Linked DNA regions of Saccharomyces cerevisiae S288C. Changing the gene in region 3 together with the main gene of any one other region gives a genetic interaction. Each region holds a gene or a part of one and is shown on either strand. Other genes may lie near its edges.

Region 1 (3,666 bases), on a different chromosome or scaffold from region 3:
TTTGAGCTGATTCAAATCAATCTCGATTAGCTTCAAAGAAGAGTAATTGCCGTTCGCTATTCCCTGAGATAAATATGTTGTAGTCTCTAGCAAGTTCAGTTGTAGTTTAAGTGGGGTAATTTGCATTTTGCTCAAACTTGCTATATTCCCCTCCATGACTACATAGACCTTGTCAAAATTTTGGCTGCCAGACCTAAACAAGTAGTCTTTCCTGTATATTTGCTTCAAATCTCGACTTCTAACCTCTATTCTCATATTGCTTTCCCCATCAGGCAACCCCATTTTATAAGTAGATGGGAAAACTTTCATACCATTTACTAGGCGAGTAGATTGTCTTGTTGATGTGACTGATGATACCGGTCTCGATCTAATGTCGCCGTTTTCTATCAATATAGAATTAGCTTGAGAAAAGTTCCTGTCACTTTTTATATATCCGACTCCATTAACGACTTTGACGTCCTTTGATGGCACCTTTAAATTTGAACTATTGAAAAATTCATTGTTGGTGACCATACTATTTCCTCTACTATTGTTACTGAAGGCATTAAGTTCTTCATTGTCATCTTCATCAGGTTCTATAATAAGATCTTTTGGCTCAGGTATAAATTCGAACGTCTCGATTTCCCTTATCAGTTTATGGAATGGCTTAAACCAAGATGAAGATTTCCCTAGCTCTAATTGAACTTGCACCATATATATAACTTTTCCAAAAGAGTAAAAATACAAATCCAGATTATCGATTTTATTAAATTCTTGCCAATGACTATTGAACGTAGGTGGGAGTCGGGCATTACTTCTTGTCACAAACGCTACTGTCTTTGCCGTATGATTTTTCAGACATTCAGGCTTTCTGGGAAACTTGTCAAATTGAAAGCTATAATTATATGAACCTGGTTTAACTTTGAACGGCTTGGAGGAGCCATCAAGAGCATTCCATACATTATCTGGAGGGAAAACTCTCTGTTCGAATTTCATTAATGTATGAAAGGATTTGTTGTCTTGGCCCGGCATCATCATGCCATTCTGTTGAAACATGTACTCTTGATCAATTTTTGTTAAGGTCTCTGAGAATCCTTTTAGAATGACGGAAATTTTCCTTATAGATAGCGCTTTTGTTAACTGAAGACTAACTATCCCTGACATTTGATCATTAGAGCTATAAAACTCCCCGTTGTACGGTGGGTTTAAGGATATTGAAATTTTTGGAGCCATGGTTTGACAAACTGTATGGTTCTCAACCTTCTCTAATCAAAAGCAGAATCTTAAATATAAACACTCACAGAATATCCGTTGGTCAATGAAGTAATTCTCCTTTGTACTGGCTGCTTTTTCTCCTCTAGTTTATGTAATTCTACTTTTGGATGGGTGCGACTGCTTTTAATTGATTGAGTGGCGGTGTTAGAAGGGCTGTAGAGTCGAAGGCTTGTTTCTCTCTTACGCACCTCTTGTGAAAAGGGCGTGCACCTTCCCCAGGACCCTCTCTCACCCTCAACCCGCATTTTGCTGAGAATTTTCACCAAGGCCCTAGGTGATATTAGATTCCACCTGACTAATTGCATTACAGCCGACCCAAGGCAATATCAGTTTAATAAAATATCATGTATCTCACCCTCTTCTTGGTATTAGTAAAGAGACGCCTGATCTTGTAACAGTGGTGAAGATTGTACTAGAGCAGAATCAAGAATTTAAAAAGTGTAAAGGCAAGGCAGAGGCGATGTACATAAAACTTCGAAGTAAGAAATATTTAATAGTTCTCGCCACATCACTATGCAGCTATATAAAAACTACTATAAACGTTTGTTTTGTTCCTTACGCACAATATCCTTGCCTAGAAATCGTTTTTGAAATTTAAATTTTTATTACCATTTATTTGATTCGCCTTCAGAAAAATATGGAAGAGTGCATATTTAAAAAGGACTATTTCAGCATATAGTAAAAGTCAGGTTATTTGTTTATTTGCGATATCAGAGTAACTTAAACTAACTATGCAGGGCACTTTTAAAAGGTTTTACCATCCCACGCTTACGCGGATGTCCTTCTTGGATAAATTCCTCAAGCCTATGATGGCAACGGCTTCCCCAAAGGAATACCAGATCAAACAACTGGTCAAGCCAATAGGCTTAACACAAGCACCAAGGAAAAGCACCAAATACTCCCAGGGGAACTCTTTGAGGGATATGTTTGATTCGGAAAAGACAAACCACAGAGTTAAAGAGTTGGCCGTTGAATTCAGCAAATCTGGACTTTATGACGTGCAAGTCTTCCAAAAGACAAAGGGGAAATTGTTTATAGCTCCAGTTTCATATTGGAAAGAAGATAAAGCTTTGTTTTTTCCTCATTTGATAGGAACGGCAATGGATGGTACGAAACAACAGAATATCGAGGATATGTTAAGGGGTAAAACCAGTATAGTGAGGTTATTTAGTACAGCATCTGGCGATAAGTTGAGTAGTTCATACTTCCAAGGAATCGTAGACGATAACAAAAAAACTGACTACTTGACTGAAGCTGATGCGCGTTTAAGTTTAAATGACAGTAACGTCCAAATCATCGAGGTCAATCTTGTAGAAAACGCTGTGAAAAGTGCTCTAGTGAAAACGCTTGCTCGTTGGGCCAATCGCGTTCCATCCTGGCGCCAGCCATTTTATTTCGAATGTTCTAGAGGCCAATGGCCATTTTCCGTCAGGGAAGAGCTCTTTTGCAATAATGTCTTTTCTGGATACGTCTTTCTTGTGGACCAGCAGTTAAAAATTAGGTGGGCAGCTTGCGGGGAGGCTACTCCATCTGAAAAGGAAGCATTGTGGAAGTTTGCCAAACGTCTGTGAAGTTGACGCTTTGTGCGGCGGCCAACAAGGGATGGGCGGCTATTTGGCGATCGTGTTCATTCCCCAAACTAACACGAAGAGCATGAGAGAGAAAAAACAAAAGTGCTTGAAACAGGTAAGACGTTTATCATTGATATCACCAAAGAAATATATAATGCCGGATTCTATTTTTGAACAGCCCTTTGTTTACTGTGGTGTTTGCCACAGAAGAACATCGCATGGAGATCCATTGAGGCTGACCTCATGTGCTCATATCCTCTGTTCGCAGCATTCTCCATTAACATCAAAGGTGTGTCCTATATGCCGTTCGAGCGATATCTCCATCATTAACCTTGTGGAATCTAAACAGCTGCCTACCGACATTAGGATTTTTTTTGAGCCACTGCCCCCACTTTTGGAGTCGTTATATAATGTTTCCCAATTCCAACTGAATGGGCTTTCGAAACAGTGTCAATACTATCAAAATCATTGTTTAAAGTTGAGAGAAAAATGTGCAAGACAACAGCAGCTGCTATATCAGGCCAAAATAGAGTTGGATTCTATGGCGATTCTTAAGAAAAGAATACAGGAATTAGAGTCAGTTTTGAATCATAACAATGTTTCTTCGATGTCAGTTGGTGTGCTACCAACAAGAAATAGCCATCAAAATCATTACCAGCCCCCTCCAACCGTTGATCTGACAGTTGATGATAATAGTTTAGAAGAATTCGAAGCCAAATCCTTTATTAAAAAGTTGAAAAAAAACTCTTCTTTGAGAAATTCTTCAAAAAATAACAATGGAACTGTCACTCCCTCTACAAGTGGTCGTGTAAATAAAAACCAGCCTCTCTTTATGGAGACA
Region 2 (3,463 bases), on a different chromosome or scaffold from region 3:
GTATGCAATTCTTCATTCTTTGAGCAATAACCAGTCATTGTTGGAGCCCGGCTCCGACTTGGACAATTTTTTAAAATCTCAAAGTGATACTTCAAGCTCGAAGAATAGGTTTGATGATGTTACTACCGACCAATTCGTCTTGAATGTAATAAAAGAGAATGTACAAACATTTTCTACTGGCCAGTCAGAAGCACCAGAAGCAACTGCAGATACTAATCTACACTATATCACATATGTGGAAGAGAACGGAGGGATATTTGAACTGGATGGAAGGAATTTGAGCGGACCCCTCTATTTGGGAAAGAGTGACCCAACTGCCACCGATTTGATTGAACAGGAATTAGTTAGAGTGAGAGTCGCCTCATATATGGAAAATGCAAATGAAGAAGATGTATTAAACTTTGCTATGCTAGGATTGGGCCCTAATTGGGAATAATAATTGTTTTATTACTGCGTAGTCAAATATGTATTTACAGAATTCTTTTAAATATATAATTCACCTACTCATCATAGCCACCGCCAAAAGAAAGGAAACCTCCAGTTTGTCTGGAATGTCTCGAAAAATAATCGAAATCGATGGACACAGCGTTTGCTAATAACACGGCCCTTTGATCCAAAGTTAGTACTTGAGAACTTAGCATCTCAGTAGGATAAATATTATCAAAGCATCTCTGCGAATCAAATCTAACAACATAAACACCAGTATCGGTAAACATTTCTCTTCCTAAACCAACCCAATTTCTGTCTACACTCGCCATTATCTTACCATCAGCATCTGTTACAGGAAAATCAAATGATAAGAAAGGTGCATCTATCTTACCAAATTGGTCAAAAGTGGATCCTTCTACTCCATCTTTCTGGAATAATTCGTAACGACGCCTCCAGAGATGCCAGTTCTGAATGGTCTCTCCTACTGTCGTTCCTTCTTTACCGTCGTGATAGTGAGTGGAGTCACTGCCATTATCAACATACGCGGAAGGAGGTATGATAGTCTTTATATGAGAATTGATGAACGAAAAGGGCCTTTTAATCGTCATTATTACATTTCCCCAATTATCAAAGACATCTACCAAAAAAGGACGATGTAGACGATAAAACTGCCGCATTATGGCCTTTGTTATAGAAAAATCTCTTTCCATCATTGATGCTATTTTGTTTCCGTTCACATCCATTATGGCATACCTATTAGCCTGCTCGAAACCTAGAAAAACGTTCATAAATTCTATTTGCCTTTCGATAATAACTGTCGGTTCATTAAGTATCGTAGTAGCTATAGGATCATGTACTTTTATTATCCCGCTATTGCTATTTTCTTTAAATGCTTTTACTGATGGCGCCTTCGTTATTTGGTTCTTTTCACGAATTACTCTCCTAAATGGACCGTTTCTGATTACTTTACCAGAAGAAACCGTTAATGTTTTACTCAGTGTACTGAAATTTCTCATACATGATCGGTAAGTTAGAAATATTGCCGTTCTATGCATGTCGGTGTTATCCTTTATGTTTGACCTTTAATCTTCTTTTGTTTTGTCTTTTTTCATTTCGTACTTTTCAAATCCTTATTGCCGGTAGGCTTACAAACTTGAATGAAGTATATAACGAAGTCAATGAAACCTCTCCCATACTAGGTTCGGAACCTGTTAAGGGGAACAAGACCGCGCACTTGTTATGAAAATTCTTCCTATAACTATATTGAAAGCTATTTTTCCACATCGGCAGACAAACGACTGTCCAGACTTAGTAAAGCTCTTGGTCGATTTTGTACATTGCCTTTCCTTTACAGCTCCAAGATATTATATATATTTTTGACAAGGTAATCAATTGCCCCACAAATCTTCCATATAAAAACCTATATATGCTATTAACCGAATGGCAATTCCCTCTATCTCATATCTCACCTCTACAGTAATCCTTCCGTGGTATCTGGTCTATAGAAATGGGTACTGTTTCATTTAAACGTGTTATCACTTGATCCAATGGTTACCATCTGACTTTGGCATCAATCCCTTCTTAAAAAGTAACCAATCAATGATATGCGATTGTTTATGAAGTCCATTCAACAAACAATGGGAGTTTGGCCGAGTGGTTTAAGGCGTCAGATTTAGGTGGATTTAACCTCTAAAATCTCTGATATCTTCGGATGCAAGGGTTCGAATCCCTTAGCTCTCATTATTTTTTGTATTTTTTTTTTTCACTTCCCATCTTTCCAAGAATCTTAGGAGAGGTGCCGCAGTACTTTTTTGGACTGAGCAAGAAGTATCGCAAAGCATGGAAAAGTAAGAAGGGTATAGCAAAAGTCTTTTCACAATAAGAGGATATTTTGCAGGCAAATTTCTGAAGACCACATAATATCGTCTTCTTGGCGCAACTAAGACGCAGAGAAATGCTTGTTTTCAAAAGGGGTATTCACGTAGTACCTAAACTACCAAATTCTAAGGCCCTACTGCAAAATGGAGTGCCTAATATACTCAGTTCTTCGGGATTCAAGACGGTGTGGTTCGACTACCAGCGATATCTATGTGATAAGCTAACGCTGGCGACAGCGGGACAGTCTTTGGAATCATATTATCCATTTCACATATTGCTGAAAACTGCAGGAAATCCATTACAGTCAAACATCTTCAATTTGGCGTCCTCTATCCATAATAACCATTTATTCGTGGAGAACATTCTACCTTCTGCTGTTGAACATGGCACTAACTCGAACGCCGTTGTGAAGACAGAGCCTTCTAGGCTTTTTTTATCCAAAATCAAAGATTCATTCAACGGCAGCGATTGGGAAGTAGTGAAGGAGGAAATGATTTACCGTGCTGAGAATGAAGTCTTGGGACAAGGCTGGTTATTTCTAGTTGAAAACAATGAGAAAAAACTCTTCATATTAACGAGCAATAATAATGGTACGCCGTATTATTTTCCCAGGAACCAGTCATTTGATTTAAACAGTGCGATATCCATCGATGAATTTGCTACCTTGAAACAAATGAAAGAACTGATAGGAAAGTCTACTAAGTTGAATGGTAAGGTTCAAGACTGGACCATGCCTATAATCTGTGTCAATCTGTGGGATCATGCTTATTTACATGATTATGGCGTTGGTAACCGGTCCAAATACGTGAAGAATGTTCTAGATAACTTGAATTGGTCAGTGGTAAATAATAGGATATTCTCTGGTATATCGAAGTAATGAAAAGAAAGGAAGCGATAGCCTCTTACCCTCATATGTAATTATAAAGGTATCGGGTAGAAGGGGATCTACCAAAATCTTATATACTGTAAATAGTTTTATTTTATCCTCTCGCTCGTGTTTTAAACAACCTTAATGGCAATTACTTTATCATTTTCATCTTTCAGCATTGTGGCCCTATTTCTATCGCATAGGGGCTTCAAACAATAATAGAGCAAGCTTTCGGGCATTCTATGGAACTCCCAATTGACTGTTTCATCACCTTCACTCAATTCGTAT
Region 3 (3,642 bases):
GTTATCACTAAAAGTAAGATTTACTCTGTTCTCAGCATTAAAGGAATACCAGAAATAAAAATTTCGGCATTCTATCATTCTATTGTAATCTTTTAAAATTTTTCTAACGACAAGTGCTGGCTTATCAAATGTGGAGCTGCAGCTTATCAAACTCTCTATACGGCCAGTTATCGAATACAAATAGTCCTTTAACAAATTATACGTTTCATTGAGTAATATGGACGGAATAGTAATTTTTGAAACAATTAAAAAGCTCAACGGGAGTTTGTATTCTGGAAGATTGTACCGATTAATTTGAAGAGGGGCCGTTTTATTTGCTAATAAAAACCTTAAGAATTTCAGGAGTAATATATCATTATCTTTCCAACTCAGTACTATGGAAGCATAGCTAGAACTGTTATTTTCAAAGGACTGGGCCCAGGATTTTCTTTCCTTCAAAGAAGAAGTCTGAATTAATCGTAAAGCTGACTTCCCTGAAATTGTTGTGAACAACGTAATTATGAGAGCCTCAAGCAATAGGTTAGAGCATATTTTCTGATCATTAAACATGGTTTCATTATATAAGATCTTCTCCAAATTTTCCACCGATGGAACATAATTTTTATCTTTCAGTAACTCTTGTAAGGGAATAAAGTCCTTAAAATGAACCGAATCACCTGAAGAATCTTCACTGGCTAAATTTTGCCTTTCAGCATAATTAGTAGCTGCTTTCTTTTTCGTCATCACTTTCTTACGTAAGTATGTGGAGTTAAGAGAGAAAAAGTGTTTGAAAAAAGCTCCTCAACGATCTACTGGGCTGCCAAAATAAAATTCAGCGTCAATGGAAAAGCTAACTAATGTAGATATTGCGTGCACTACTTGTCAAAAATTCGTGCTCCTTATTAATATATGTATATGTATATACAAATGTGTCAATACATCAATAGTGCAATTTGTTAAAGTATTTGTATTCATAAATTGGCGCTGCCCGGGTAAGGTAGAAATTGCATCAGATAAAAGTGAGGGCCCATTGTTTGCCATTCGAACACATCCATCCTACGTGGTATCAATGGTTGTTGATCCGCTCTCTTTCTGCTAGGAAGTACTTTACAATCCCCTGATAGGCACTCATATCGCCACAGCGGATGATATTACCAATGTCTACGTCAAGTGGAGAATCACAAACGGGTTCCCTTAGGAGTCTCCAAACAGCATGAACACAGTGTAACAAATCCCATACAGGAGTCCACTCCTCTGGTTTAAGGATGTTCAGACATATTTCTCCTGTGGCTGATTTAACATTGCAGTGCAAAATATTGTTCTGCATAAAACTTATCTTTGGTGGATTCATGGGGTAGGAACTAGGGACTTCTATTAGTATTCGAAACTGATGATTTTCATAAGGTGTGTCTGACGGCCCAGAAATTATAGCTTCCCACTTGCTCAAGTCGGTTTCGTCAATCGGGTTAAGTGACTCGATTATCCCCCGGTAGGGGTTCGCTATGGGGTCATCACTGGCCAATGTTTTCAGTATGACTTTGTACTCCTTCACGATCCTCGACATACATGTATCAGACGTATAGCTCCTACGATTCTCAAGAATCCAGAAGTTTGGCATATTATGTATAAAGGCGATGATTATGTATATTTTATGTTGTCTCCAGTAAGTGGCAGCATAACCCGGCCAGTCTGCGCTGCATGCTGTGAAGCAGTAATATGCGATATATACCACATATATTCCGCTTCCGTTCAGGATTTCGAAAAGAGAAACTTCAGTGAATGACTATGACTACATAGTTGGAGTCTTAGACCATTGCAAATGAGTTATTCAAGTATGAGAGATCAACACTGATGAGAATAAACTCGTCTTCATGATGATACGGGTAACGCGAATGTATCGCATCAATAAATTTCAGGGAAAGGGAGTTTGACGATCTCATGGATGCAACGGTTGAGGTATATAATATTAAGCAGAAAGAAGAGGAAAAAAAATAAATCGGTAAACCAACCATCAACGGTACGAAACTTACATTCAAAATCAATAATTTACTTTAGAAAAGAATGTCTAATTCTGCCAAACTTATCGATGTCATCACCAAGGTGGCGTTGCCCATTGGTATAATTGCTAGCGGGATTCAGTACTCCATGTATGATGTGAAGGGTGGTTCTCGTGGTGTTATTTTCGACAGAATCAATGGTGTAAAGCAACAGGTTGTGGGTGAAGGCACTCATTTCTTGGTGCCTTGGCTACAGAAGGCGATCATATACGATGTGAGGACGAAACCAAAGAGCATTGCTACCAATACTGGTACGAAGGATTTGCAAATGGTGTCATTGACCTTGAGAGTCTTACATAGACCAGAGGTCTTACAGCTACCCGCAATATACCAAAATTTGGGTCTCGATTACGACGAAAGAGTGTTACCATCTATCGGCAATGAGGTTTTAAAGTCTATAGTAGCTCAATTTGATGCTGCTGAGTTAATTACTCAGAGAGAAATTATTTCTCAAAAAATCAGAAAAGAGCTTTCTACGAGGGCCAACGAATTCGGTATTAAGTTGGAAGATGTCTCTATCACTCATATGACGTTTGGTCCCGAATTCACGAAAGCAGTTGAGCAGAAGCAGATTGCACAGCAAGATGCCGAAAGAGCCAAATTCCTTGTCGAAAAGGCAGAGCAAGAGAGACAAGCTTCTGTTATCAGAGCTGAAGGTGAAGCAGAAAGTGCTGAATTCATTTCAAAAGCCTTAGCTAAAGTTGGTGATGGTCTGTTATTGATTAGAAGATTAGAAGCTTCTAAGGACATCGCTCAAACATTAGCAAACTCATCTAACGTTGTCTATTTACCAAGTCAACATTCTGGTGGTGGTAACAGCGAGTCTTCGGGATCACCAAATTCCTTGCTTTTGAACATTGGCCGTTAAGTCTGGAAAAGCTATGAACACAATAAACTAGGGGAGAAAATTTTTTTTTAATCATATTAGAAACCTGTATATATGGGGGATAACAACGCCAATAACATATTCCATCTTTCCATTTAGTTACCAACACGAATACGTATGCTATCAATATCGTAACTTAGTTTTTTATCATTTATATATATACATGGATGAGCCTACGAAAAAACTAAAGCACATTCATGTATCACCATAATATTATTTTAGAAAGAACTTTTTTTGTTAAATTTATTTAATGCAAAGGTTATATAAAGAACGATCAACGAAAATTGTACGCGAATTGCCTTTTTTTCAGTCCAGTAGGCTTAAACCTGGGAAATTGTAGGTATGCCCATTTGTCTTCTTGCCCTCCTTCTGCTGAATCCGGTATTAGAGCCAAATCCACCATTTTGCATCATACCCATCGTGGCCACAGTCACTTTGATGAGGAATAGAAAACAGGAAAAGTAAAAAAACGCAACAGCAGCCTGAGATTGATGACATCTGGAGCTTGAGCCTTGTATGATCTTATTCTGTTCCAGATATGTTTTGTTTTTACACGAATGGCATCTTATACCTACAGCCAAAGCGGTGGCTGCTACAAACGTAAATATGAAATTTAAAAAATCCAAAACAAGCAAAATTGCTGGGTATGTTAATGATGTCCAGAAATTAGCCAAAAACCCATATAATGAATCCGTAACCAGACCATAAACGGCGGCAAAC
Region 4 (3,838 bases), on a different chromosome or scaffold from region 3:
AGTTTTGAATTGAGCTCTCAGTCTTTAAGCGACCAAACTCAAAAATTCCCCAACAATATCAGTGCAAAAAGCTTTTTTTGGTTCACCATGTTTCCAACCCTAATTTACCAAATTGAATATCCAAGAACTAAGGAAATCAGATGGAGCTACGTATTAGAAAAGATCTGCGCCATCTTCGGTACCATTTTCTTAATGATGATAGATGCTCAAATCTTGATGTATCCTGTAGCAATGAGAGCATTGGCTGTGCGCAATTCTGAATGGACTGGTATATTGGATAGATTATTGAAATGGGTTGGATTGCTCGTTGATATCGTCCCAGGGTTTATCGTGATGTACATCTTGGACTTCTATTTGATTTGGGATGCCATTTTGAACTGTGTGGCTGAATTGACAAGATTTGGCGACAGATATTTCTACGGTGACTGGTGGAATTGTGTTAGTTGGGCAGACTTCAGTAGAATTTGGAACATCCCAGTGCATAAGTTTTTGTTAAGACATGTTTACCATAGTTCAATGAGTTCATTCAAATTGAACAAGAGTCAAGCAACTTTGATGACCTTTTTCTTAAGTTCCGTCGTTCATGAATTAGCAATGTACGTTATCTTCAAGAAATTGAGGTTTTACTTGTTCTTCTTCCAAATGCTGCAAATGCCATTAGTAGCTTTAACAAATACTAAATTCATGAGGAACAGAACCATAATCGGAAATGTTATTTTCTGGCTCGGTATCTGCATGGGACCAAGTGTCATGTGTACGTTGTACTTGACATTCTAAGGCATCCTGCAACTGTTCTGTGGAGCTATTAAATCTTTATAGTAAATTTTTTTTTACTTTTTTTTTTTTTTTTTTTTTTTTTTATTATTTACAAGCGTCTATATATTTTCTATTATAGAATATTGTCATTTATTACATTGGTTCATCTGTAAATCTCATCAAACGGTCTCGTATCGGCGAAGCAACTGTCCCAAACTTCATCTACAATTTTTGCTGCATGTTCTTTGCTTTGGCAGTTGGGGTTCCCCGAAACACTAATTATTGCCCTCCTTCTAACACAATCTTGGTGTCCCCTTGCCACATGGAATCCTGTCCTAAACCCTCTTCTCTTGAACTCTTCCCAAAACCTGCATTCCCCACTTAACGAAGAGGCTCTGATTTCAGAACATGCATGATGCTTCAGATTTAACCAATCTATTTGCCATTTTAGATCATCGAAATAATGAATTAATTCATGCGAAAGCGTATCCTCTAAATGCCACTTATCACGTAACCTGTTCTGGCACAATAGGATTCCCAATTCAGGATGAAAGCCACCGCCCTTCCAGTCGGGACAGTAATCGCAGATGATCTTCGAATCGTCGAATTTACTGTCGCTACCCTTATTAAGTTTCGTAATAGCTTGTACCATAAAGCGAACTGTGGGAGAGTATTTAAGCATCCAATCTCGATACTCATAACATTTCAGACATTCCTTTTTTAGTTCTCGAGCTTTAGAGTCGTCTTCGTATCGAGTTTTCTCCTCCGGTGTCAAGCCTATACCAGTCTTGTACTGCATGGTCCGTCTCCACCACTCAAACCCAGCATTATCCCCACTGCTATTCATATCGTGCCAAAAAAAAAAAAAATTCGGTACTATCAGCTTTCCTTGGTTTTGGTTGTACAAATTATGCCTTACTCTTCTGATCATTTTGATATTAGAACTCTTATTTTTCTTATTTGTTCGCATCGTCATAAATGATAATTGGCGAAAACGCGCCAAAAAGTGAAAAAGTGAGAACTACTTGAAAAAAAAAAGTTTGATATTATAGGTATTATTGCTCAAATAGGTACGATATTGTTGTAGGCATAAAAATTAGATTAGCAGAACCCTTTTCCATTTCATTAACATGTCTAGTTCAATATTTGGCCCACTTACGGGTTTTTTGGAGCGTGTCAATTCACTCAATGCGCCCTACCAAGCATTATCATATGACGAACAAAAGGCCATGACTATTTGGCAAAGAGTCAAATTCTACAACTGGACTTTTGAATTGTGTGCTCTAGGTGTGTTGTTCTTGGTTTATGCTTTCTACAAATTTGGTAACTCCGTTAATTTGAAGCGCGGAAATCAGATTTTCCAATCTTTGCATTCATTTTTGGCCAACGACTTAAAGTTCTCCCGTGTAGGGTTCAATATCAATGATTCCAAAATCTTTACAGTGGAACACCAAAATACATGGTTCTCTTCTTTTGCTACCGGTAGATCCGCCATCAAGAGCATCAACCTAAACCTTCATCTGGTAGCCCGTAGCAACCCTTTCTCTATGTGTCTAGAGTACCTGCTTGGATTTTTTTTTGCAAGTTTGAAAAGTAAGCAATTGGAAGAATTTATGGAGATCGTGATCAGGCCAAATGGTATTTTAGTTACTAGTGAATCTGCTCATCCTAACAAGAATGCGCATGAAATTTTGACCAAATTTAGATTTGTCACTTCTATTGTTAACAAAGAATTCATGAATCAAGCTAGAACTGAAAACTATTTCCTGTCTATTGCACACACTAGTGAAAACGATAAACTACCAAATAACTTCGTCTACATGTCCGATGTTAATCAATTATCAGGGTTCATGTTTCATTACTCCAAGCCCTATGAGGTTTTGTCCCAAGCTGGTAATCTTTTGAAATATATAAGTTTCACCGATTTGCCTGTCAACCCGCCACGCGATGATAAAGAATGGGAATCTTCAATTGAACCAAAGGCTATCATTCGTTGCGCTGTTCCCCAAAATGAGAATGAATTGAAGTTGTTAAACCAAATTATTTCCTTAGTCGTAGAAATCTACGATGGGTTCACTCAAGATTTAGTCCAACAGTCTCCAAACTTATTCATTACCAACGACATCTTGAAAAGAACTACCAACTTGCGTCAGCAAGAACTGAACAAGATCAAAAAGTTTATGAAAGAAACTGAATTGGAATTGGCAAAGGAGAAGAAATTAGAATTGGAAAAAGCCAAAAGACGTCAATTGAAGGCCTCTGGTCAACAAGAAAAGGTAGATCAAAAAATGAAAGAGAAAAGAGAAAGACGTCTCAAAAACAAGCAAAGAACAAGATTTCAGTAAGAACCACTTTGTTCTTCTTTCCTCCTTATAATTTTCTGAACCTCTTCAGTTTTTGTATACGAACGTTTTCCATGTATCCATACATTTAAATAGTAAGTATGTAAATTGGTATGTGGTGTTTTGAATTGCGATGTTGCCTATATACAAGATTGTACGCTATCTGAATACATACTCTTTACCAATCAAATGTCAAGACCGGGGATCTTAACCTCTTCGATAGTAATCCCAGAATCCAATAATCCCTTCTTTTCCTCTTTTGGCTTCTCTTCTTTCTTGTGGCCAAAAACAGATTCTTTACGTAACTCCATGTTCTTTTGAACTTCCGTTTCATGGCGTTTAGAGAGCTGTTGATGGTCTTCCTCTAGCTTTGCCTCAAGTGTTTGGTATTGTTTTAACAGTTCCGTATTTATGTCGTGTTCTTCGCTGAGTATGTATTTTGCACCATTGAAGTTATGTAAATAGTTTCTCATTAAAGATGGTTTGACATTTGCAACTTGTCCTTTATATAATTGAAATCGCGGGAAATCCTTCAGGACTTGAACCTTGACCCTGTGGGTTCTCTTTGTCAGAGCGCTCAGACACACCTGGGTGCAATGTAGCATCTTTGGTCGACCTGTTTCGTTCGTTATTTAGTTAGCCTTTTATATTCCTTACGGTATAACGTAACTTAACTGCCCTTTGAGTTTGCTTTTTCATCGGAAAGAACAAATGAACTAAAAACTTGCAATAATAAACAA

Evidence for each region.
Region 1: mutations in PHB1 (region 3) and ATP10 together harm fitness more than expected from each alone (negative genetic interaction), as found in Saccharomyces cerevisiae (4 studies listed by BioGRID, with this or other methods).
Region 2: mutations in PHB1 (region 3) and AIM25 together harm fitness less than expected from each alone (positive genetic interaction), as found in Saccharomyces cerevisiae (3 studies listed by BioGRID, with this or other methods).
Region 4: mutations in PHB1 (region 3) and ATP23 together harm fitness more than expected from each alone (negative genetic interaction), as found in Saccharomyces cerevisiae (4 studies listed by BioGRID, with this or other methods).

The regions. Positions count from the first base shown.
Region 1 is NC_001144.5:905,094-908,759, forward strand, and holds ATP10 (Atp10p), read left to right. Parts: upstream 1-1,985; coding exon 1,986-2,825; downstream 2,826-3,666. Other genes in the region: ART10 (Art10p), read right to left, coding at 1-1,212; SUMO ligase CST9, read left to right, coding at 2,857-3,666. UniProt on the Saccharomyces cerevisiae protein: Essential for the assembly of the mitochondrial F1-F0 complex.
Region 2 is NC_001142.9:615,851-619,313, forward strand, and holds AIM25 (Aim25p), read right to left. Parts: upstream 1,485-3,463; coding exon 501-1,484; downstream 1-500. Other genes in the region: ubiquitin-specific protease YUH1, read left to right, coding at 1-436; mitochondrial 37S ribosomal protein mS42 RSM26, read left to right, coding at 2,384-3,184; ESCRT-II subunit protein VPS25, read right to left, coding at 3,307-3,463.
Region 3 is NC_001139.9:754,851-758,492, reverse strand, and holds PHB1 (prohibitin subunit PHB1), read left to right. Parts: upstream 1-2,040; coding exon 2,041-2,904; downstream 2,905-3,642. Other genes in the region: CCR4-NOT core subunit CAF130, read right to left, coding at 1-723; PEX4 (E2 ubiquitin-protein ligase peroxin 4), read right to left, coding at 1,046-1,597; FHN1 (Fhn1p), read right to left, coding at 3,243-3,642. UniProt on the Saccharomyces cerevisiae protein: Prohibitin probably acts as a holdase/unfoldase for the stabilization of newly synthesized mitochondrial proteins. Involved in mitophagy; may act as an adapter for ATG8 that supports mitophagosome assembly.
Region 4 is NC_001146.8:666,491-670,328, forward strand, and holds ATP23 (putative metalloprotease), read right to left. Parts: upstream 1,733-3,838; coding exon 920-1,732; downstream 1-919. Other genes in the region: ARE2 (sterol acyltransferase), read left to right, coding at 1-777; YNR021W (uncharacterized protein), read left to right, coding at 1,887-3,101; mitochondrial 54S ribosomal protein bL9m MRPL50, read right to left, coding at 3,284-3,703. UniProt on the Saccharomyces cerevisiae protein: Has a dual role in the assembly of mitochondrial ATPase. Acts as a protease that removes the N-terminal 10 residues of mitochondrial ATPase CF(0) subunit 6 (ATP6) at the intermembrane space side.